Linked DNA regions of Mus musculus: all the other regions are reported to be linked to region 3. The links are microRNA targets in miRTarBase. Many come from high-throughput screens and were not tested one by one. Region 3 holds a microRNA gene; each other region holds the end of a gene's coding sequence.

Region 1 (3,082 bases), not on the chromosome of region 3:
AATGCAGTTCCTCATGCTGGGATGAATCCCAACCACAAAGACATGTTTGTTGCTACTTGATAACTATAATTGTGCAAATTTTATGAAATGTAATGTAAATATCTGACATTAAACCTTATGAGCATGTCATCTAGCCACAATGAGGTTTCCTCACATAGGTTCAGAAACCTGTTATTGAAAGTTGGCCACAGAATCAGAGATATGCCACTGCCCCTGCCTATGCCTATGTATAGGCACCTGCCCTGCCCAGGCCTAAGTACCTGCCTCTGCCTTTATACACTGCTGGAATTAAGGTATTGTAACACCATTTTCTCAGGTTTGTGTGAGATGGTGTTTTGAGGGTTTTTTTTTGTTTGTTTGTTTGGTTTTTTTTGTTTTTGGTATTTGTGTTGTTTGTTTGTTTGTTTTTCCTGTTTTAGGTGGTGGTGATGATGGTAGGCTACTTATTTATTTTATCATTTTGTTTTTAGGAAAGATATGTTGTGAGTCTTTTAACAGAGAATGATTGGATTCTAGTGTTCCTGCTGACAGATGCCAGGTACAAGGATTGCAGGGATTCTCCATATCTGGATAGCACAGTGTTATCATCTGAATTCTACCTATGATGCTTACCTGTACAAGGCTTAATCCCTAACCTTAGGATGCAACCTTATTTGAATATGGCACTGAAGCTAATCCAAACCTCTGAAATCCTGCAAAGGCTATAATCTCAAAATATAGAAAGCTAAACTAAACCAAAAACTCAAATCCATTAAACGTTAATGTTGAAACAATGAGGAACAAAATTATCCAACTTCACTAGAAAAATAAAGACCGGAAAACGAGGCAAATCAAAAGGGTTAGAGAACCAAATGCTGGTGACTCGGTCCAGAACAAGCAATGCCAGCAATAAAATCCTAGGTGGGGAAATGTATAACTTGTGTTGGTATTCATGTCAGCTAAGGCCATTGTGTACTTTTTTTAATATATATCTATTATGATATATTTTCCTCAACTACATTTCCATTGCTATCCCAAAAGTCCCCCATACACTCCCCCCCACTTCCCTACCCACCCATTCCCATTTTCTTTTTGTTTTTTTGGCCCTGGCGTTTCCCTGTACTGGGGCATATAAAGTTTGCATGTCCAATGAGCCTCTCTTTCCAGTGATGGCCGACTAGGCCATCTTTAAATACATATGTAGCTAGAGTCAAGAGCTCCGGGGTACTGGTTATTTCATAATGTTGTTCCACCTATAGGGTTGCAGATCCCTTTAGCTCCTTGGGTCCTTTCTCTAGCTCCTCCCTTGGGAGCACTGTGATCCATCCACTAGTTGACTGTGAGCATCCACTTCTGTGTTTGCTAGGCCCCAGCATAGTCTCAAAAGAGACAGCTATATCTGGGTCATTTCAGCAAAATCTTGCTAGTGTATGAAATGGTGTCAGCATTTGGAAGCTGATTATGGATACTGATCATTGTGTACTTTTAAAACTGAAGCCTTCTAATTGCCTGCTGAAAGGTATCACCAGGAACATCGTGGCAAAGTCATAATGCATCCTCAATGTTTCTACCTGATATGGGAACTTACATAACTCATGGGAATTGCAAGCGCACATACACAGACCCCAACAACTCAATTAGCCTGTGCCTGTTGTCTTCAACTCTGCACAGAATCCTGTTTCTCAACATGACTCTTATGCCACTTCACATTCTTAACATTAGTTTTTTGAAAGTTATTCATGGAAAAAGACTTGCTTTTGTCAGCTATTTTTCATCATGTGAGACAAGTATCCATAAATCCTGCTCCTTGAACCAAGTGCATAGGTGCTCTGAAACCAGAGCTACACAGAATGTCGGGAGAATGATAATTGAACAGGTAGGGGAGGACCCACCAAACTACTCTGAGCAATTGTTGATTATTTTTTTATTTATTATTCCACTTTGAACGTCATTCTAGTAATGTAGAGAAATATTCTTGAACTGTAAGCAGTAGACATGACATGAGATGTCTGAAGAGGCAATGCATTTAACTTGCAACCCTAAGACTTGGGATGAAACCCCAACATGTTAAAAAATGTCAGAGGGAATGGCAGGCCTCTGTCAGGACCACTGTAGAGAATAAAAGTGGAGATCAGAAAATGTTTGGAAACTCTAGTGCCAGAAAGACAGGTGTATAAAGCTGCCAACCAGAAAGACACTGTCTAAAAGCAAGAAGCAACTCAAGAATTAACAGCAAAGTATTCTAATAACTTATGCTGTGGAACTATGGAAATTACAGACAAAAAATTACATACACACACACACACAATAAAAAACAAAACATAAAAGTGGCAATCCACAAGCATGTTATATCATTATTGGGACAGTACAATTTACTTGCAACATTCTTCTCTCTTTGAAGATGACATACTGAGGCTGAAGCCCTACCAGTCTCTGCTGAGGATGTTAGATACTTCAGTCAGATCTGTGGTAATTCCTCAGGTGACGATGGTAAGTGGATGATTGGCGAAAGCGACGGCTACATAGGGAACAGACATAAGGCATTTCTCCTGTGTGAATCATCTCATGAGACTTCAGGTTGGTCTTGTGGCTGAAGGACTTTTCACATGTGCTGCACTTGAAAGGCTTTTCTGGCATGTGTATGATCTCATGGGTTCGGCGGTCAGAGACTCGTTTGAACATTTTCTGACAGGTGACACAAAGCAATTCACTCTTCTTATTCAGGTGAGTTCTCTGGTGGGACGAAAGGCTCCTGGCATGTTTGAACATCCTAGAACATTCTTCACACTTGAATAGTTTGGCATCTCTACGGAATCTCTTTTGATGACTTTCACATGGTAAGTTTGCCTCATGATCCTTACCAAGAAAGACAGGATCAGAGATAGGCTCCTCTTGCCTAGACTCCAACCCTGGTAGCTCCCTAGGGTCTTTTTCAGAAAAACATTCCCCAAGTGACTCTTGCAAGCATGTAGATGTTCCTTGACTTGCTCTTGTAGAATCCTGAGGAACTCCATAAGGAATATCTCCCTCCTCAGGCTCAGAATGATATATTCTCTTGTTAATGGAAAGGGAGTCTGTCTTTTTCCTGGGAATATTATCACTT
Region 2 (3,082 bases), not on the chromosome of region 3:
CATAATTTCCTTCCTAGATGATGTTTCTAACACGATTTTCCTCTCATATGATTATTGATCTGATAGAAGGAAGATATTTGGCAGATGTTTTGTCTCAGATGGCCTGGCAATGCTGGGCTAACAAGGAGGAAGTAGCCTGGGAGCATCCTGGCTCTGGGAGCACCATCAGCCTCTGGAAGCTATGGGAGTGTACATGGACCCACCCTCACACACAGTCTTCCCCGTCCCTTTCAAGCCTGCTGTCTGAGGACCACCTGTGGGAGACTAAAGAGTCTGAGCAGGCCCTGTAGTGGGCTTAGGGGGTCCCCAGTGACTCAGGGAAAAGCTTCTCCTGGCCATGCCCCTTAACAGTGGTGACAGGGACTGCACCACTGTGCACAACTTTACTCTGAGAAGATGCACAGTACGCCCCAGAGATTTTAAAGATGGCTCAAGTGTGTGAGCGGCCAATCCACAGAGTCCATGAAACTCTCATCAAGATCACAGGCCCCAGCTGGAGAGATGGCTCAGCGGTTAAGAGCACTGACTGCTCTTCTGAAGGTCGAGTTCAAATCCCAGAAACCACGCAGTGGCTCACAACCATCTGTAATGAGATCTGACGCCCTCTTCTGGTTTATCTGAAGACAGCTACAGTGTACTTACATATAATTAATAAATCTTTGGGCTGGAGCGAGCAGGGCCGGAACGAGCAGAAATCCTAAGTTCAATTCCCAGCAATCACACGATGGCTCACAACCATCTACAGTGTACTCATATACATAAAATAAGTAAATCTTTTTTTTATTAGGTATTTAGCTCATTTACATTTCCAATGCTATACCAAAAGTCCCCCATACCCAAGTAAATCTTTTTTAAAAATTAAAAAACATCACAGGCCCTTCAGGGAAGTGAGGGACGAAATGAAATCTGGAATAAACACAAAGTGAGGAAGCCCCAAGTGAGGATGCTGTGCCTCCTGGAACAGGGCAGATAGTGCCCCCTCAGGCTTGGAGTCATCATAACAATGTGGCTGGACTCAGAGACAGCTGCTGACCAACCCACAGATTTAGGGCAGCTGAGCAACAGGCTGGGAATGTGGCAGAGCCTTGCCAAGCCTGACAAGATCCTGGATTCCATGCCCAGAGCTGCAAGGTCAAACCAAACCAAAAACAAAAACAAAAAAAAAAAACAAAAAAACCCCCCAAAAAACCAAAAAAACCAAAAACCCCACCAAATTAAACCAGAAATACCAAGCAGAGAAAAAGGGAAATAGAAAAATGAAGGGCACAGAAGCAGTCATTCCTTAAGGATGCTCAAAGGCGAGGAACCAGTTAGATGGCCGAGAAGAAGGGAACAGGCTGGCATAGGTGTATATGCGGGTACACCCAGCAGAGGGGTCAGGAAACCCTATCTAGGTTCAAGGTCCCTGGCTACCTGCTGGGAAGACTCTCGTGATCCAGATTTGCACAGACATTTGCATGTTGCTTTGAACTAGACTTCAGGTCACCAGAATTCCATGTTCCAGGCCTTGAGCAGAACTACCATGCCTCTAACAGCCAATAGGGGAGCCCCAGTGGCAGGACTACGGTGGCCTGCAGGATGTCAGTGGGATGGCAAGGCTGACAACCAGAGTTCCATCTCTGGGGACAAAATAATAAACGAGAGAGACATCTCCCCCCAGCTGACCACCCCACCCCCCGCAGTGGGAAATGTGTACCCACACATGACACACACCAAATAAAATCCTTTTTTTTTTTGGTTTTTCGAGACAGGGTTTCTCTGTGTAGCCCTGGCTGTCCTGGAACTCACTTTGTAGACCAGGCTGGCCTCGAACTCAGAAATCCGCCTGCCTCTGCCTCCCAAGTGCTGGGACTAAAGGCGTGTGCCACCACTGCCCTGCTCCAAATAAAATAAAGGTCATCTAAAACAATTACAAACAGCAACACAGATGGGGGACACTCCTGACTCTCTGGCCCCAGGAGACAAGGTCTGTGGGCTGTCCCGTGGTGTCTGCAGCCAACAGCTTAAGAAAGGCGAGGGCACAAGGTGTCCTTTTGGGCTTGCTGGTCTGCAGGCGCCTCCTCCTAGGAGAACAGGCTTCAGTGTTCTGGCACGTTCCTCCCACTTCAGGGAGACAAGGCAATCTGCCCAGACTCTACAGCTAGAAACCCAAAGAAGCACAAGAGCGTCCATGTTTCTTCTCTTAGAACGCCTGATTCTGCTTACAACAGAGTCCGCATAGATTTCTAATCAGAGTAAGGGCTGACAGGCACTTCCTTGGTACTTGGTCCACTCACAGAGTGAAGCTGTAGTGTGGGCTGAGGCCCTCCAGGGCAACAGGACCAGCAGAGATCCACTGTGGAGGTAAAAAGGCCAGCTTAGGAAGTTTGGGAAGGTCATGAAACACTTGCCCCTCCAGAAGGAAGAGGCTAATTAACATTTCTCAGACCTTAGGGCAGAACTGCCCTGTGGGTGGGGACACATCCTGCAGGACACCTTCAGACAAGGGACGTCCTTGTCACTTCATTCCCTAAAGACCAATCAGTTTAAAGGGTGCACTGCTCCGCCAATCACGTTGTGCCTAGTTGCTGATGCTCTCTTCTGCCCCTGGAAACCATATAAAAACTCCCTGAATGGGTGCTGGGGGTCGCCGCCTCTCCTTCGGGTCTGGGAAGACCCCAGTGCACTGGAACAAAAATTCCTCTTGCTTTTTGCATCTATTCCGGCTCCACGTGGTCCACTCAGGGGCTCCCTGGTAAGCAGAGGCTCCCTGGAGTCTTGCAGAGGGACGGGACTCTGTCCAACAAGTTCTCTGTCTCAAAGCTCTGTGGCATCAGTAGAGGCCCCTGCTCAGGGGTTGGAGCCTAGCTCCCGTGTAGCGGCTCAGCTCCTCCAGCACCAGCTTCTCCTGGTTGTACATCTGGAACACAGCAGAGCACAAGCTCTGGAGGGACTCTGGGGACCCTTGTCCCGAGTCCGAGTCCTCCCAGGGTTCACCTCCTTCTGAAGCCCCCCTAGCCGCTCCCCCAGGCTCTGCACAAGTCTATCAGCAGCACCTGAACAGAGACTCAGAGAGCTGTAGGTAGATGCAAGATCAAAGGAC
Region 3 (3,082 bases):
AGGATGATCTCTAACTGCTCATGAAGTTAAGCATGAAATTGAACTCCTGATCCTCCTGACACTGTCAATTGTTTACACCTGGTGAGTGAGACCTTCACTGTCCTACTTTATAATCAGCAAAATTCTAAGACATATATCATTCAAATGGATCAATGAGTGTCATTCTTATTTGTGTGAGTGTGCATGCCTGTGTGTGTGACTACATTTGTATGTGTGTGTATTTATATGTATGATCATATAAACACATGTACGTGCACACAAAATTATATGCACTTGTGCATACCTAGGGTCCATCACACAAAAACAGGGTGATCTCTCACTCATTATGAAGTTAAGCATGAATTTGAACTCCTGAGACTCCTAACTCTGGCAAGTGGTTTTCATCTGATAAGAGAGATTTTTCCCTATACCATGAATATACACTCAATGAAACTCTAAGCACGTATAAATCAAAAGGATGACTGCCATGTGTGTTTGTGTGCACATGTATGTTTCCCTAGTTGTGTGTGTGTGTGTGTGTGTGTGTATATATATATATATATATATATATACATATATATATATATATATATGCATGTTCATATACGCGCATGTACACGCACACTTCACCTATACACATAAACACAAACACAGGGAAAATCACATGAATTCCGGGCTGATCTCTAACTCATCATAAAGTTAAACATGAATTTGAATTGCTCATCCTCATGATGCTGGCAAGAGTATTCACCTCCTAACTAAGTCATAGCTCGGGCCATTCGTGGGAGTATGTTTGCATGTGAGTATATGCATATTCATGTACAGAAGTGAATATGTACTCAACTATACACACATGCACATTCTTGGTGGGCATCACATGAATCGCATGCTGAACTCTAACTCATCATGAAGTTAAACATAAATTTGAATTCCTCATCCTGACACTGACAAGAGTGCTCACCTCCTAACTGAGACATAGCTCTGGCCATTCCTATGAATGTGTGTGCATGTGTGTATATGCATATTCATATAGAGAAGTGAATATGCACACAACTATACACACATGCACATTTTTGGTGGGCATAAGATGAATCCCATGCTGATCATGAACTCATCACAAAATTCAGCACGAATTTGAACTCCTGATCCACCTGACTCTGTCAAGGGATTTCTCCTGCTGAGTGAGACCTCTCCCCATTCAGTAATGAGGAATCTTAAAACTCTAAGTCACATATCATTCAAATGGATCGATGAGTTGCATTCATGTTTGTGTGTGTGTTACTGTTTGTGTCTGTGTACATGTATATATTTGTGTAGATAGGTACATCCATATACTCAAATCCACACACAATAGAAACAGATACAGATAGGGATACATAGGGGGCATCACATGAATCCCAGGCATATCTCTAAGTCATCATGAAGTAAAGCATGAATTAGAACTCCTGATCCACAATCTTTCACACCTGGTGAGTAAAACCATTCACTGTCCCACTACTGCATAATCTTGAAAACTTTAAGTCACGTATCATTCAAACGTATAAATGAATGCAATTTTTTCCTGTGTGTGTGTGCTTGCATATACACGTGTGTTTATGTTATGTATATCATGTCAACACATACAATGCACATACAAGTAAGCACACATGCACATACATGGGTTGCATGACATTAATACCAAGATGTCTCCAAATGAAGTTAAGCATGAATTTGCAATCCTTATCCTCCTGACTTTGTCAATCGTTTACACCTGGTGAGTGAGGACATTCAATGCCCCCTATTGCATAATCTCTAAAACTCTACATCACTTATCATTCAAAGGGATTGGCGAATGCCATTCCTGTGTCTGTGTATGTGTGCTTGCGTTTATACGTGTGTGTGTATGTTATGTATATTCAAATATAGACATGAACATGCACACACAACTATACACACATGCACATACATGGAGGAATCACAGGCTGATCTCTCATGAGGATAAGTATGAATTTGAACTCCTGATACTCTTAACTCTAGCAAGCATTTTCACTCTAAGTCACTTATCACTCAAATGGATTGATGAGTGCCATTCCCATGTGTCTGTGTGCTCATATGTGTCTTATGTGTGCGTGTATGTATATGTATATCATATTCACACATGTACATGTACACACACATCAACACATACACACATACATAGGGGCAATCACATGAATGCCAGGATGACCTCTAACTCATCATGCCTTTACCATGAACTTGCACTCCTGATCTTCTCGAATCTACCAAGGGTTTTCCTGTGGTTTGTGAGACCTCACCCTGGCCCAGTCATACATAACCTCCAAAGCAGTAGGTCACATTTCATTCAAATGGATCCGTGAGGGCCATTCCCGCATGTCTGTGTGCATGTGTGTGTAGGTGTGTGTATGTATATGCATAAAATATACACGCATATACATGCAGGCACTTACGCACACAGGCACATACATAGGGGCCATCACATTATTCCAGGATGATCTCTAACTGCTCATGAAGTTAAGCATGAAATTGAACTCCTGATCCTCCTGACACTGACAATTGTTTACACCTGGTGAGTGAGAATATTCACTGTCCCTCTACTTTATAATCAGCAAAATTCTAAGACATAAATCATTCAAATGGATCAATGAGTGTCATTCTTATGTGTGTGAGTGTGCATGCCTGTGTGTGTGAATACATTTGTATGTGTGTGTATTTATATGTATGATCATATACACACATGTACGTGCACACACAATTATATGCACTTGTGCATACCTAGGATCCATCACACAAATACAGGGTGATCTCTAACTCATTATGAAGTTAGCATGAATTTGAACTCCTGAGACTTTTAACTCTGGCAAGTGGTTTTCATCTGATAAGTGACATTATTCCCTATACCATGAATATACACTCAATGAAACTCTAAGCACGTATAAATCAAATGGATGACTGCCATGTGTGTTTGTGTGCACATGAATGTGTCCCTAGTTGTGTGGGTGTATATATATATATATATATATATATATATATATATATATATATATATATGCATGTTCATATACGCGCATGTACAGGCATACTTCCCTATACACATAAACACAAA
Region 4 (3,082 bases), not on the chromosome of region 3:
TGGGAATGCCAAAGCCTAGTTGCAAATGTTTTCCACAAGTGGTATTTTGGTATGACCTGTATTCTGCAGTAAAATTTAAAATCAGAGGATTTTTTTTTTCCTTCCTCATATCAGAAAACGTTTACATTTCAAATCTGTGATCTGAGCCTGCGATCAGTGTGACTGATCTGGGAGCCAGACTTGTTCCTCTGTCTGACGGCTGCTGTCTGCTCTTCCAGGGTTACTTCATGACAAGCTGGGCACCTACGACGTGGCCTTTTACCTTGCTGGAATCCCTCCCTTCGTTGGGGGTGTTGTGCTCTGTTTAATCCCGTGGATCCATAGCAAGAAGCAAAGAAAGATCAGTAAGAACGCCGGAGGGGAGAAGATGGAGAAAATGCTGGAGAACCAGAGCTCTCTACTGTCAGGCTCATCAGGAATCTTCAAAAAAGACTCCGCCTCGATTATTTAATGCCGTACATACCTCACCTCACGGGATTTGCTTTTGAATTTTAAGCCAGTTTTCCTTTTTATATGAATTGCAGATTTCTTATTTTTTTAATCATCCTTGGAATAGCACAAATGGGACATGAGCCCTTTATTATGACAAGAGCCATCTCTCTCCCAAGCAGCTTTGGTATTCCCACGAGTAAGGGGGAGACTGTCACAGGCAAGCACGTCTGGAAATCCAGCGTGAGCGTTCAGAGCTCCGAGGAAGGAGCAGCCTTGGCAGCCTCAGATGCTGTCAGCTGCTGCGTGCTTTGAACGTGCTTGGAGCTGCGCTGGGTGGGCAGCTCCGGGCTCCTCCGCACCGGAAACATTTTGTCAGTCCCTCTTGGTATCTTTTGTTCCACTGTGTTACTTTCTCCTTCATTTTTGGAATTTAAGCCTAGATCCTAGATAATAAGAGGCCAACCTAAACCTTGAGTCTGTTAAATGACTTAAGCTATGAAATTAGGAGGTTCTTACATGCTGTAGTCAAGGGACCTCCTGGGAGCAGATGCTACTGCTACCACAGTGGACATGGGGGAGAGAAAGGCCCTCTTGTAGGCGGCAATCAGGTGTTTCTTCCACCAACCTTTGTTCCCTTTGGTTTGTAGTGTGTTTTACTCCAGTAGCCAGAAACACCCCAAATTTCTGATTTTATATAAACAATAAAGTGAAGTAGAATGTATAAAAGATATCCTGGCAATTTTATCAGAGTTTTTCTGACTTCTGGGTTTATTAGCACTATGTTTGAGTGTTTTGTTGAGCGTATTATCAGCTGGTGGAGTGGACACAGATTGGAAGTTCTGTCCATTAGAAAATGTCTGATAGAAATAATTGCTTAAACTGATTTATGGAACTAATGATTTTTTTGGAACTAATGATTTTAAAATGTTAAATATATTTATAAGAAGCCCAATTTCTAATTTTTCCAAATTTTTTTTTTTTAGCAAAACTTTGCATTTGTATGTACAGTCTTGTGATATGCCAAGGAGCCTGACGGCCGGTGCTTTCCCAGCCTGCCTCTTGTGGAGTTTACGTACACAGACTGAGAGACTCCATTGTAACTAGGTGATACAATCTTTCTGCACAGCATCGAGTATGCTCCTTCCTCTTCTTTGGCCAGAAAATTAGTGTAGTATTTATTTATTGATTACCTCCATTGTCCCCCGTTTATGTCCCAACTGTAAGAAAGCTTTGAGGATCTAAAATTAAAACCAAAGTTGGGCCGTGACCCATTACTCATTTATCAAAGCAGGAACACACTGTTATATCTTTGAAATTGTATGTTAGACTTTAAAGGTTAAAATGCCAAGTATTCTTAAATCATTAGCCTCGATGACTGTTAGAGTGGAACGTAGCTTGCTTGTTCATGGGAGAAGAATGCTATCTTTTCCTAAGCACTTGCAGGGTCCTTCTGTTTCTAAGTTATCTGGAAGGTGAGACTTAATTTTATCATCTCCCTACTCAGCATTCCCTTTCTGTTGCATATAAAAGGCCGACCTCCCTCTCTCCATCTGTCAAGGGCGGGCTGCCTGGAGACAGTATAGACTCATTTTTGTTGGGAGTGGGGGTAGAGGTCTGGAGGGAAGAGGGGCTAGGAGTTGAAAGATGGAAGCTCTTCCTCTTAATTACAGCTTGCTTACCTATTGTCTTGTAAGAGCTCACAGCCTAAATGCTAAGTGTACACGTTCTTTTAATGGGTTTTGAATAATTGTAATTTATTTATTATTTATTTATTGTGATGCGGAGCCTAAGTAGATCTGACTGGCCTTCAGCTCCTGTCTGTTGCTTCAGACCTGTGTTAGGATGCAGCGGTGTGCTACCATGTGTGTCAAAAAGTTTGATTTTGAAGACCCAAGCTGGCATGGAACTCACCATGTAGCCCAGGCTAGCCTCAAACAAACTCACAAAGCTCTTTTAGGTGTTTTTGAAGCAGGCTTGGTTGTGGCCCAGCAGGGAGTTGGAACTTGAGGTCCTCCTGCTTCAGCTTCTTACACAGAGGGATCCCAGAGTGTGCCACCACCGCCAGCGTCACCGCCAGCGTCACTCACTGCCGACAGGTGCTTCTGTTTTAAATTGACAAAGGGGTTTTAGCAATTTGTTTGCAGTAAGATCTCTTTCAGGAGGGAAAATATTTTAACCATATTGGCCTTTCTTGTTCTTTTCTTTCTTGTTTTAGATAAAGTTTTACTAAGTAGACCTGGCAGGCCTGGAGCTCACAGAGACATGCCAGCCTCAGCCTCCCAAGTGCTGGGGTTCAAGGGCGGGCACACCACCATGTGGGCTCTCTTCCATGGGCTTATATTGTACATCTGAGAAGTTTTGCCTATGAAGTTATTACTGAGTTCGAATATATGGAAGTGTCTGATTGTTGCTAATGCTTAATGATTTAAGGTTTATTTACAAGAAAATGATCATCAAATCCAGTCTTGTGATGAACATGGCCTCCCAACAGAGTAACTTTAAAAAAAAAGTCCCTTCTCAGGGTATCTAGCACAGAGTGGATGTTTAAAATCACTCATGGGTGAGGATATGGCATAGAGGTAGGGAGCTCTCCCAACAGTCCGAAGCCCCAGCCAGCCAGACTCACTTCAAGGAGTAAAAATGAACAACA
Region 5 (3,082 bases), not on the chromosome of region 3:
ACCGCTCTGCATGAGTTGCGGGAACTTGAGAGACAGAACACTGTCAAGCAGGCACCAGATGTGGTGCTGGACACCCTGGAGCCCCTGAAGAATCCACCAGGCCCCATCAGCTCAGAGCCCGCCAGCCCCCTGCACACCATTGTCATCCGAGACCCTGATGCTGCTATGCGCCGAAGCAGCAGCTCATCGACGGAGATGATGACCACCTTCAAGCCAGCCCTGTCAGCTCGCCTGGCTGGTGCCCAGCTGCGTCCGCCCCCCATGCGTCCGGTCAGACCTGTGGTTCAGCACCGATCCAGCAGCAGCAGCAGCTCAGGTGTGGGCAGCCCGGCAGTGACACCCACGGAGAAGATGTTCCCTAATAGCTCCTCGGACAAGTCTGGCACCATGTGACCTGCAGGACTGGTGACACTGCCATGGCCCACTGCAGCACACCAAGGCCTAGGGTGGCCTTAGTGGCTTCCACTAGCTTCCCAGGGATCTCCTGGCCTTGGAGGGCAGATCCTGGAAGGTCAGCCTGGGAGGGTGTATGTCTGTGGAGAGCAGAGGCCCAGGCGTTAGCTGCAACTCCCGCTCAGCCATGTGAATGCCACAGACCTCTTGTAGGCAAACAGACATGCCAAGGAATGCTGGAGCAAGATCAGTCCCAAGGACAGTGTTTCCTAAGATTGAGGCAGATGCTTACCAGCTTCTCATATTGTCACTGGAAAATTATTCTCTCGATATTCTCTACATACGTATATATGTGTATGTATATAAATACATGCATATATACGCATATGTGTACGTATGTGTCTGTAGGTGTGTGTATATATATATATTTATGCATCTATATACATATACTAGAGAGCTGGACATACACACATGCTAACTGTATATAGACGCTCCTTTTTTTTTTCTTTTTATGAAACTTAGATTTACCTCAGACCCATGCCACCAAACATCTCCCACTCTTACTTGGTGGGATTTGCAGGGACTTCTCTGGGAGAACTTAGAGGCCCCACAGTAACTGCGAACGAAGCAATATACCACTAACCTGCAGAGACACAAAACCAGAAACAGTCTCCAGCTGTCTCCAGAAGTCGTGGCCTTCCAGAACAGTCTGTCTGCCCCTCAAGGAAGGGTGGGGCAGGCAGTACCCCCAAGCAGGCTGCCCCTAAAGGTGGGGAACCCTTCATAGAAAACCCTTCACCCACCCCCCTAGAGACCCTGCCCTGTCACCCGGAGGCCAAAGGTCAACTGTACCCCCAGAAGGCACAGGGGAAGTTGGTGTGAAGACCCTTGAGTTTGTATACTGACTCAGGATGGTGAGATGCTGTGGTTGGGGGTGTGGGGGAGAACAGGAGGAAACAAACAAAACCCAAAACAGTAGTATGGAGTAGTTCAAACCTTACACGTGCTGTAGGGACAAATCTGTGCTGACTGTACAAGTTTTACTTCTCTCATCTTCAAAATATTTAATGGTTTTTTTTTTCCTCCTCGTTCTACTGATTATGCTTTGTCAGATTTGGAACTAAATGGGCAAGGAGGCATTCAGTCACATCATGTCTGTTTGAGAGCAGTCCACACTCTGTTCCCCGCTGGAGCCTCCAGTGCCCAGCCATCCCTTGGCCTCCATCCTAGGAGGACTGTGCTAGGAAGCACCGTAGGCTGGGATGCTATGAAAACGGCAGTGCTCCTCACCCTCCCTTCCCCTCCTCTTCTTCCATTCCTTCTAAAGCAGTTAATGTAGACAAACATGGTGGTAGAAACAAGGTACGTGATTCTGTAGTGTCACAGCAGCCTCCTGCATGGCTCTTGTTTGATTCCGTTTTACCTGCTTTTTTTGTTGTCTCCATTTTCCAGATATTTCCAGAATTGTTGGATAATGCACCACAGGCGAATCAAATCCTAGTGGGACCATTTCTACTCTCCCTCTGCATGCCAAACCAACCAAGGATATCTCCTTCTCCTCTTCCTCCTCCTCCTCCTCCTCCTCCTCCTCCTCCTCCTCCTCTTCTCTCTCTCTCTCTCTCTCTCTCTCTCTCTCTCTCACACACACACACACACACACACACACACACACACACACACACACACTGGCTGGTTCTCTGCCTACCTCCAAGTTTTACAATCCACAATCTGGAATCTGTGTCACAGCCCCCACAGGAGCCCTGTGACCCATAGCTACACCACTCCTGTCACCTACAGATGCTTTGAAGTGCCATCCTTGGCATTTCTTCCCTTTGGGTTTACTTCCACCATTTCTTGGGTCCTCCATTGAAAGGAATCTTGACCGCTTCCCCAGGGAGGGACCTAGTGAGTCATTGGTCCTTGAGTGTGGGGAGAATCACCCATTCTGCCTTGCCTGTACGATCAGCACTGAGTACACTGTGGAATCAAGAATGGGCTCCAAATGAGAATGCCAGGAAGATGCCCGAACCATCAAGCCTCCCCTTCCCTCTCAACTCCTGCTGTGATGGGCCCTCTGTTTTTTGAGCACATAAAGATATCTCCATTTTATAGTTGAAGACAGTAAGGCCTGGGGGTGGGAGGACTGGGACCTGCACAAGATATGCCAGATGGCCTAGTGGGCTGCATTGGGCTCAGGAAGCCCTCATTTCCAGGAATCTGCTATCTCTGCTATGCATCCGGGAGATAAGACTTCTTTTTTGTATCCCAGGGCTATTTCCAGATTTTTAAGTCCACTCACCTCCCAGGCAAAAATGCAATATTCTCTGCCTGGATACCAGATAGAAGCAAAATTGAGTTTACAAATCTATTACCGGACACACCTATTGCCAGTTACGCTGTGCAGATTTGTCTCTGGGTTGACTTATTTCATTTTCCTTACTGCCTCTCCCCCAAATGTCCCAAGAGCAGAGCCTCAGCTGTTTTCCTTAAGCATCTATCTTTCCCCCATTGGCAAGTGGCTGATGAATTCACATTTAGGGAAGCACACACACAGATGGCAGATGAGTCCCCAGCTCTTCCAACCCCCAATCTGAGCTTTGATGCAGAACAAATGGAAAAGCACTGTCCACCCCCATCCCCAACACACTTCTTCATCTGGTCCCCTTGCATGTCTCAGCCACCCCCAGGT
Region 6 (3,082 bases), not on the chromosome of region 3:
GCTTTTCAAATACGAAGCTAAAAACTAAACTAGTAGCATGACTAAAACCCAAACACTAAAACTTTTAAAAACATTTATATTAGTTTGTTCTTAATCCTAAAAAAAAAAAAAAGTTCACATTTCAAGTTATAAACTTACCTCAGTAGTGTACGTGAAATGGTTGAGAAACAAGAGGGACAGCTAAGGCCACAGACTGCAGAGACACTGGTGCTTAACTGGCTGCCACCAACGCCTGCCGTTAAGGTAGTCGCCACGTTAAGTTAGTGCATAGTTTTTCCTTTTTTTTAAATTATTAATATTATTTTTGAAAATATTTCCCCAGGCACTTGTAAAATACAGTAAGAACATGGGCATCCGGGCTCATCCGAAGACCTCCATGTCAGTCCGTGGCCGGCAGGAAGGCACTTTTTCCTCACCAGTCAAGGGATGAGGACCTGATACCTTTAAGGAGGTCACTCATTCCAACAGGCCCGTGTGGCTGCAGCTTCCCGAGTGACGCCTCTCACTCTCCCAGCTGCTCTATACCACGCAATAAGGAAGGAGGGATGCTTAAAGGTCTTAGCAGGCACTCGATAATTCTATAGAATAGTTAAATAAATATTTCTTATATATATAAAATCCATCCCGTCAAGATAAAGTGGGGGGGAGGCAGAAAAAAAAAAGACAATTGGGACTCTCTTAATTTAAAAGCAGAAAGCGTTTGCTGAGGGCAAGATCCTACTATTAGTCCACAAATAAGAGTTAAGCCTATTAGCAAAACTCTGATGGGAAGGGAGATTGGATGGACTCTGTCATGCCATGAAACACAACTGTGCATCTGCTACCCTTATTGCACACCTCACATCCTGGACTGAGCCTTCTTAAAAAGATGTAAGTTGATATAATTCATAAAAGAGATGACGATATTATCTTTTCTACTGTATTTTACATTCACTCTGCCAAAGAAAAGCCTTAAAACAGGCACAAAACCCAGCATCTGTGCATTTACTTCCAAAAAAGAAAAAAAAAAAAAAAAGGCAAACACTTTGAATAACATTGAAATAAAATGGCTGCATTTCGCATTACACTACAGGCCATGAACTTGGCAACTTTGGCGAGCAAGCGTCAGAAGTTATTTACAATCTACCCTTAAACTCCTACAGAGACTTCTCCTGGATGTGTATGCCCGTGTTCACCTGCCCGTGTTCACCTACCAAATGCAGAGCAACGGCGGGAAGCCCTGCTAAACAAACACAGGGCTTCCGACATCCCTGATGGCACCAGGCATTCTGTAGGAAACACAGGAGAAAGAAAGGCAGCGAGAAGCTTAACTTCCCACTGACAAGTCTTGTCTATAATCACATACATTCTTGGTCTCTAAAAACCCAGACTTCAAAAAAAAAAAGTCAAAGAATTAGAAAGGTCAGGTTTCATACTGAACAATTAAATAGCTATGCAGAGATGCCTTAGGCAAAGATGGTAAAATCTTGTCCTTAATGTGTATTCTGCTACTGAAGATACACATAGAACAAACCAAATATAATTAACAAAGATAATTAAAAAGACGCCCTAAACAAACCAAAAATAATTAAAAAGACCCCAACACAATCCCAGGAAGAAGTATAAAAGGCATCAGTTGTCTTCTCTATTGGAATTATCCATTTTTCTTAGATATGCCAAAGTTGCACTGGAGCTAGGGAAGGAGAAGGGCGGGGCGGGGCACGGCGGGGCGGGGGCGGGGCACAGTTACTAAGGACTCAGGAGAGAGAGCCCAAGGTAGTGAGGGCAGGTCAGAGCTTTCCAGTGTTGGGACTCTGGATGTGAGGAGTCTTTTCCATGTTGGCTTAAGAACAGAGTGTTATTAAAAACAAAACAAAACAACAACAACAACAAAAACCCCAAACCAAACCAAAACCCCATAAACCCAGAAAACATGACAAGAATAAATGGCATTATCGTCAACCCTTAATGCCAGTGGAAATACAGTAGAGACTTTTTTTTTCCTCATTTTAAAATTGCACTTTCCAGCATCACTTTAAAAAATAAAATAATGTTTTATGTAGTATTTCAGAGCACTACAGTTTGTGTCTTTAAATATTGAATATAGTTTTCAAAATAGTTCCCTAGATGCGCGGGTGTGCTTTTTTTTTTTTTTTTTTTTGATATACATACATATAGCTGATATACTTTGAAAGGTTCTACAAAATAGAAAACTCTGGAGTGCAGAAGTTAAGAAAATAACCTTCATACTGAAAATATATCCTTAAAAAACAAAAAACCAAACCTCTGTACAAAAGCAGAAGAGCATACAAACTTTAAGAGATGGCATTAAGGCGTGAGGCGTCGCAAGTCTTTTAGAAATGTATGAACGCGGGCCTGCTAAGTTGAAAAGTCATTTTCAAAAAAAAAAAAAAAAAAAAAAAAAGCGAGTGAAAACTTCATGGATATAATAAAATATTTCAGTGTGCTATTTGATAACATTCTTCTTCACCTGCAGGTTTTGCACGTGTACCAACCCGACACGTTCTTTCTTCATAAATAATAAAGTGTTCCTTCAGCGGGGTTTGGTGGCTTGCCTTGGCTCCGGTCCCCCGTTCTCAGTAAGTCTGGTAGACGTCGTGGATGGGCACCTGGAGAGCAGCGGGGAAGGCCTGAGGTATGTAGCCGGCGTAGCCCCCATACACGGCAGCCGCGGCGTTCTTCTGTAGTGTGGCGATTGTGGCAGTGGCGGGAGCAGCAAAGGGGACGTAGCTGGCCCCGTAGATGCCGGCGGTGGGGATTCTCTGAACATTTGGTGCCACGGTGTACACAGGAGTTATTGGACGGCCCTGAGAGACAAACAGACAAGACTGAAGTCCTTCCTGAGCAGGTTCGTCATCTATTAGAATAATAAGCACCCCAGTGGGGAGGGAAAGAAGACATCAAGGTAGGGAGGCAGGTGAGTGACAGTACAGAAGAAAGAGATTAGTCAGAGCAAATAGCCATCCTTGAAGGGCTTGATGCGCTCAAACTTAGTAGTGTTCAGACTCCTGTCAAAGCGTGAGGCTGCAGGTTGAGCCAGAGATTTATACAGTGGAATCTTTGATTGGCCATTCTATTCGGT
Region 7 (3,082 bases), not on the chromosome of region 3:
GAGCCACCAGATCCAACTGGGGAAACTGGAGTAGAGGGTGGCAGTCGGACCCCTCTGAACCAACAGAGGTTGCTGGCCTGTGCCTGGACTCAATGCAGTGTCTCTTGGGGACACATCAAGGCCCTCACCCCTGCTGCTCTGTCTAGCTGTCCAACCATAAGAGAGTGGGGCAGCTGGAGAGCAGAGCCAGCCCAAGGCATGTGGAGGCCAGGCACCCAGGCCCAGCTTGGAATGGCCCAGGCACTCCTGAGTCCAGGTGCAAAGGGAAAGACCAGGCAGGAAGGGGGATGGGGCCCATGGCAGGACGGCAGTACCAAGAGTGTTAGGGCCAGGCTGGCTGGAGTAGTGCTTGCCCACCTCCCTGGGCCCTAGGCCTGTAGAGGGTGGCTCTGAGCATCCACCACCCAGTGTGCAGTTGGCTCCAACCCCAAGCCATATTGAGGCTGAAACGGAACCCTTTGCAGGATACCACAGAGATGGATGGCTCTAGAAGACCAAGGACAAGCAGATGTCAGAGCCCAGTCCAGAAGTAGCAGGGAAATGAGGCCTGGCCCTGATGGCTGTGCCGAGAAGATGCGTGGTAAGAACAGCTAGGGCAGTTCGCATGTAAACAGAAATGCTAAAGTGCTTGCGAACAAACACCCTGGGAAGCTGCTCCAGGCCACCTCACCTCCTACCTGACACCCACATGGGCAAGGTGGCCTGTAGGACAAAGTGAGGCTGGCCTATTCTGAGGGAGCCTGGGGACGTGGGGCTGGATAGTGAAGGCATTGAGCCTAGAAGCTGTGCGTGTTCCAGGCAGAGCTGGAAGAACTGGGGGCTTCCATCTGAAGCCTACAACCAGGGAAGACTTTAGGGGAAACTGAGGCTCCCACCCAGGCACAGCCTGGAGGCATCAGAAGGAAGAGAGGGGTATATCCATGGGTAAAACCCCAGGCAACAACAGGGGCTTCTGAGAAACGGCTATATCCAGGCTCTGACCCTAGTATCAGCCCAGGGAATGAGCCAAAGAGTTGGGGTGGGAGTCTGACCAGAATTCATGGCCCAGGGTGTCTAGGCTCATGACTACCACAGAGGAGTTGCTCCCTGAGTCCTTGTACCTGCCCCATAGCTAATAAAGGTGCAGCTCTAATCTGACCTCCACCCTGTCCCATCGGCTCCCTAGCTTGGAGTGTGAGGGACCACAAGACTAGCAGCCCATGGATGTGGGGTGTGCTGTCCCCAGCACTGATAATGGTCCTGGCCACAGTTAGCTGTCCCTTAAAATCCATTATAATCTTTAGTACCATCAAAAAGGTGAACTTGAAAAGGGAGTAGGCCGCTTGCTTGCTTTTCCAATGACTAATTAAAAAAAAAACATTTAAAAAAAGGGTCTAACCACCTCTAGTATTCAACACTTGCAGTTTGAAAAGATCAACTCAGACTAAACGCTAGCACAGTCATGCAGGTCCACAGCTCTGCACCCAAAGCTCGGGGCACGGAATCGTGGGCAGCGGCTTCTTCCATCTGGGGGAAGTAGAGGCCACATCAGATGGCAGCTCCAGGGCCCTTGGTTTTGCTCTCTTCCACCTGGGTTCCTCCTGAATTGCCTTTCCGTGTCTCTTCCCTCAAATAATTGTACAGCACCCCATTGGGGCCAGGGCCACACACACATATATATATATACACATACATACATATATATATGTACAGGGTCCATTAAAAACGTACTGTTGCTCCTTGAGGGCAGAGGTGGACACAGTTGACCTCCAGTCCCTTGGGTCACTGCCCATGGTCAGCAGGGTGGCAGAAATGCCCCCCACATCCCCAGGGCAAAATACCACAGGATTTCTTGTTCCCTTAAAAGCAGTACCCAGATGTCCCACTGCAGAGGGGCCAGGACACCGTTGAGAGGCCAGACTGGAAGCCACCGGGAACATCAGGGGAGGGGAGGATAAAGGATGGTGGGACGGTGGCCTGTTATCCTCCAGAGCTCCGTGGTGGGCTGCGATAGGAGCAGGAGGCGGGGAATAAATAACGGGAACATGCACTCTGACTGGAGCCCCAGGACCAGGAGCTCCCAGAGGCACAGCCCTGAGGACAGAGAAGGGTTCGCCTAGCCATTGTCCACATGTCACTTGGAAGTGGGGTCTGCAGGCCCTCCATAGGAGGGGAGTGGGGCCTCTCTCCCCAGCAGAAGGATGTGGCACTCCAGCCTTGGCCGCGCAGAGCACGCGGTGAATCTGAGGGTGGTGGCAAGCACAGGGTGCTAGAGTAGAGGCTGGTGGGACAGCCCCAGGCTGTGACTTATGTGGCCTAGCCTTGGGTATCTCACCTCTCCCTCAGACTCTGCCTGCTGGTAGCAGCTGAAGAAGCCAAGAAATGTGAATTGGTCCAGCCCCTTGTCCTGCTGCCCTCCTTCTGGAGGGCCTGGCCTTCTATCTCGGCCCCTCAGAGGCCACCTCTCTCTCAGGAAAACCACTAGCAGCTCTTGCCAAGCAGCAAATATCCCTGGGCAGAACCAGCCACGCTGTGCTATCCTTGCCCCACGGCAGCAAGCCCCAGGCACAGAGGCGGCTCAGCAGGAACCCTTACATCCACAGCGATAAGAATTGGCCCTGCATGGCAGGGAGAGGAAGGCGAGGGCCAGGACCCAACCACAGCCCCCACACCTGGACTTGGTACAGGTGGGCCAAGGGCTGTCTCCTGGGTCCTCTGCTGCCCTCCTGCTCTGCCTCCTGCTGGGTGGGCACTTCCAGGGCTCAGCTGCTCAGGGCCATTGTGTCCACCACCTGCTCCAGTTTGCTTCGAAGCCGCTGCCTTCGAGCCTGTTCATCTTTCTCCAGAGCCACCAGAATCTGCAAGGGTGGGGTGAGGGGTGGGATAGGGTCAGAGTCAGGGTTAGCTACCCACAGATATGGGCTGGAAGCTCTAAGGGAAGCAGCTGGACCAAGACACATGACCTTGGTGTGTCTGACTCCCAGTTCCTAGCTGTGCCAACAGTTCTGATCCAGAGTACTACAGCACTTGAGGGTGAGCCCCCAAGCTCATTACCTCCACCCTCATCTCCCTCATCAACAGGCTGTGGCTCCTGGCTATGGCC

The links. The annotated mature microRNA mmu-miR-466p-3p reads AUACAUACACGCACACAUAAGA and lies in region 3 at 2,076-2,097, opposite strand. An mRNA with a match to its seed (bases 2 to 7 or 8) in the 3' UTR can be bound and repressed. Matches are read on the target gene's strand: a 7mer-m8 pairs with bases 2 to 8, a 7mer-A1 pairs with bases 2 to 7 and ends in A, and an 8mer does both.
Region 1: the mRNA of Zscan4d is a reported target of mmu-miR-466p-3p. Seed matches in the 3' UTR shown: 8mer at 2,266-2,273.
Region 2: the mRNA of Ybey is a reported target of mmu-miR-466p-3p. Seed matches in the 3' UTR shown: 7mer-A1 at 639-645.
Region 4: the mRNA of Slc16a10 is a reported target of mmu-miR-466p-3p. Seed matches in the 3' UTR shown: 7mer-m8 at 1,431-1,437.
Region 5: the mRNA of Srgap3 is a reported target of mmu-miR-466p-3p. Seed matches in the 3' UTR shown: 7mer-m8 at 748-754.
Region 6: the mRNA of Rbm47 is a reported target of mmu-miR-466p-3p. Seed matches in the 3' UTR shown: 7mer-m8 at 2,145-2,151.
Region 7: miRTarBase lists Plxna1 as a target of mmu-miR-466p-3p. Seed matches in the 3' UTR shown: 7mer-m8 at 1,670-1,676.

The regions. Positions count from the first base shown.
Region 1 is chr7:11,159,488-11,162,569 of GRCm38, forward strand. Zscan4d (zinc finger and SCAN domain containing 4D) reads right to left here. Exons shown (of 4, transcript NM_001100186.1): 4 at 2,156-3,082. The coding sequence ends at 2,434. Among named protein-coding and RNA genes, the nearest start is that of Zscan4d, 5.1 kb to the right of the region's middle.
Region 2 is chr10:76,460,421-76,463,502 of GRCm38, forward strand. It overlaps Ybey (ybeY metallopeptidase), which reads right to left. Exons shown (of 5, transcript NM_172550.4): 5 at 1-2,899. The coding sequence ends at 2,813. It overlaps 2610028H24Rik (RIKEN cDNA 2610028H24 gene), which reads left to right. Exons shown (of 8, transcript NM_029816.2): 8 at 67-798. Among named protein-coding and RNA genes, the nearest start is that of Mcm3ap, 6.9 kb to the right of the region's middle.
Region 3 is chr2:10,485,492-10,488,573 of GRCm38, reverse strand. It overlaps Mir466b-4 (microRNA 466b-4), which reads right to left and starts at 2,151; the gene lies at 2,062-2,151. All of the region lies in intron 10 of Sfmbt2 (Scm-like with four mbt domains 2), which reads right to left. Mir467a-4 (microRNA 467a-4) reads right to left here and starts at 2,439; the gene lies at 2,357-2,439. It overlaps Mir669a-7 (microRNA 669a-7), which reads right to left and starts at 1,921; the gene lies at 1,835-1,921.
Region 4 is chr10:40,034,541-40,037,622 of GRCm38, reverse strand. It overlaps Slc16a10 (solute carrier family 16 (monocarboxylic acid transporters), member 10), which reads left to right. Exons shown (of 6, transcript NM_001114332.1): 6 at 219-3,082. The coding sequence ends at 451. Among named protein-coding and RNA genes, the nearest start is that of Mfsd4b1, 11 kb to the right of the region's middle.
Region 5 is chr6:112,720,099-112,723,180 of GRCm38, reverse strand. Srgap3 (SLIT-ROBO Rho GTPase activating protein 3) reads left to right here. Exons shown (of 22, transcript NM_080448.4): 22 at 1-3,082. The coding sequence ends at 393. It also overlaps the pseudogene LOC108169181. Among named protein-coding and RNA genes, the nearest start is that of Gm26799, 22 kb to the right of the region's middle.
Region 6 is chr5:66,016,630-66,019,711 of GRCm38, forward strand. Rbm47 (RNA binding motif protein 47) reads right to left here. Exons shown (of 8, transcript NM_001127382.2): 8 at 1-2,807. The coding sequence ends at 2,577. Among named protein-coding and RNA genes, the nearest start is that of Gm40310, 7.8 kb to the left of the region's middle.
Region 7 is chr6:89,316,635-89,319,716 of GRCm38, forward strand. It overlaps Plxna1 (plexin A1), which reads right to left. Exons shown (of 32, transcript NM_008881.2): 32 at 1-2,837. The coding sequence ends at 2,742. Among named protein-coding and RNA genes, the nearest start is that of 4930512J16Rik, 32 kb to the left of the region's middle.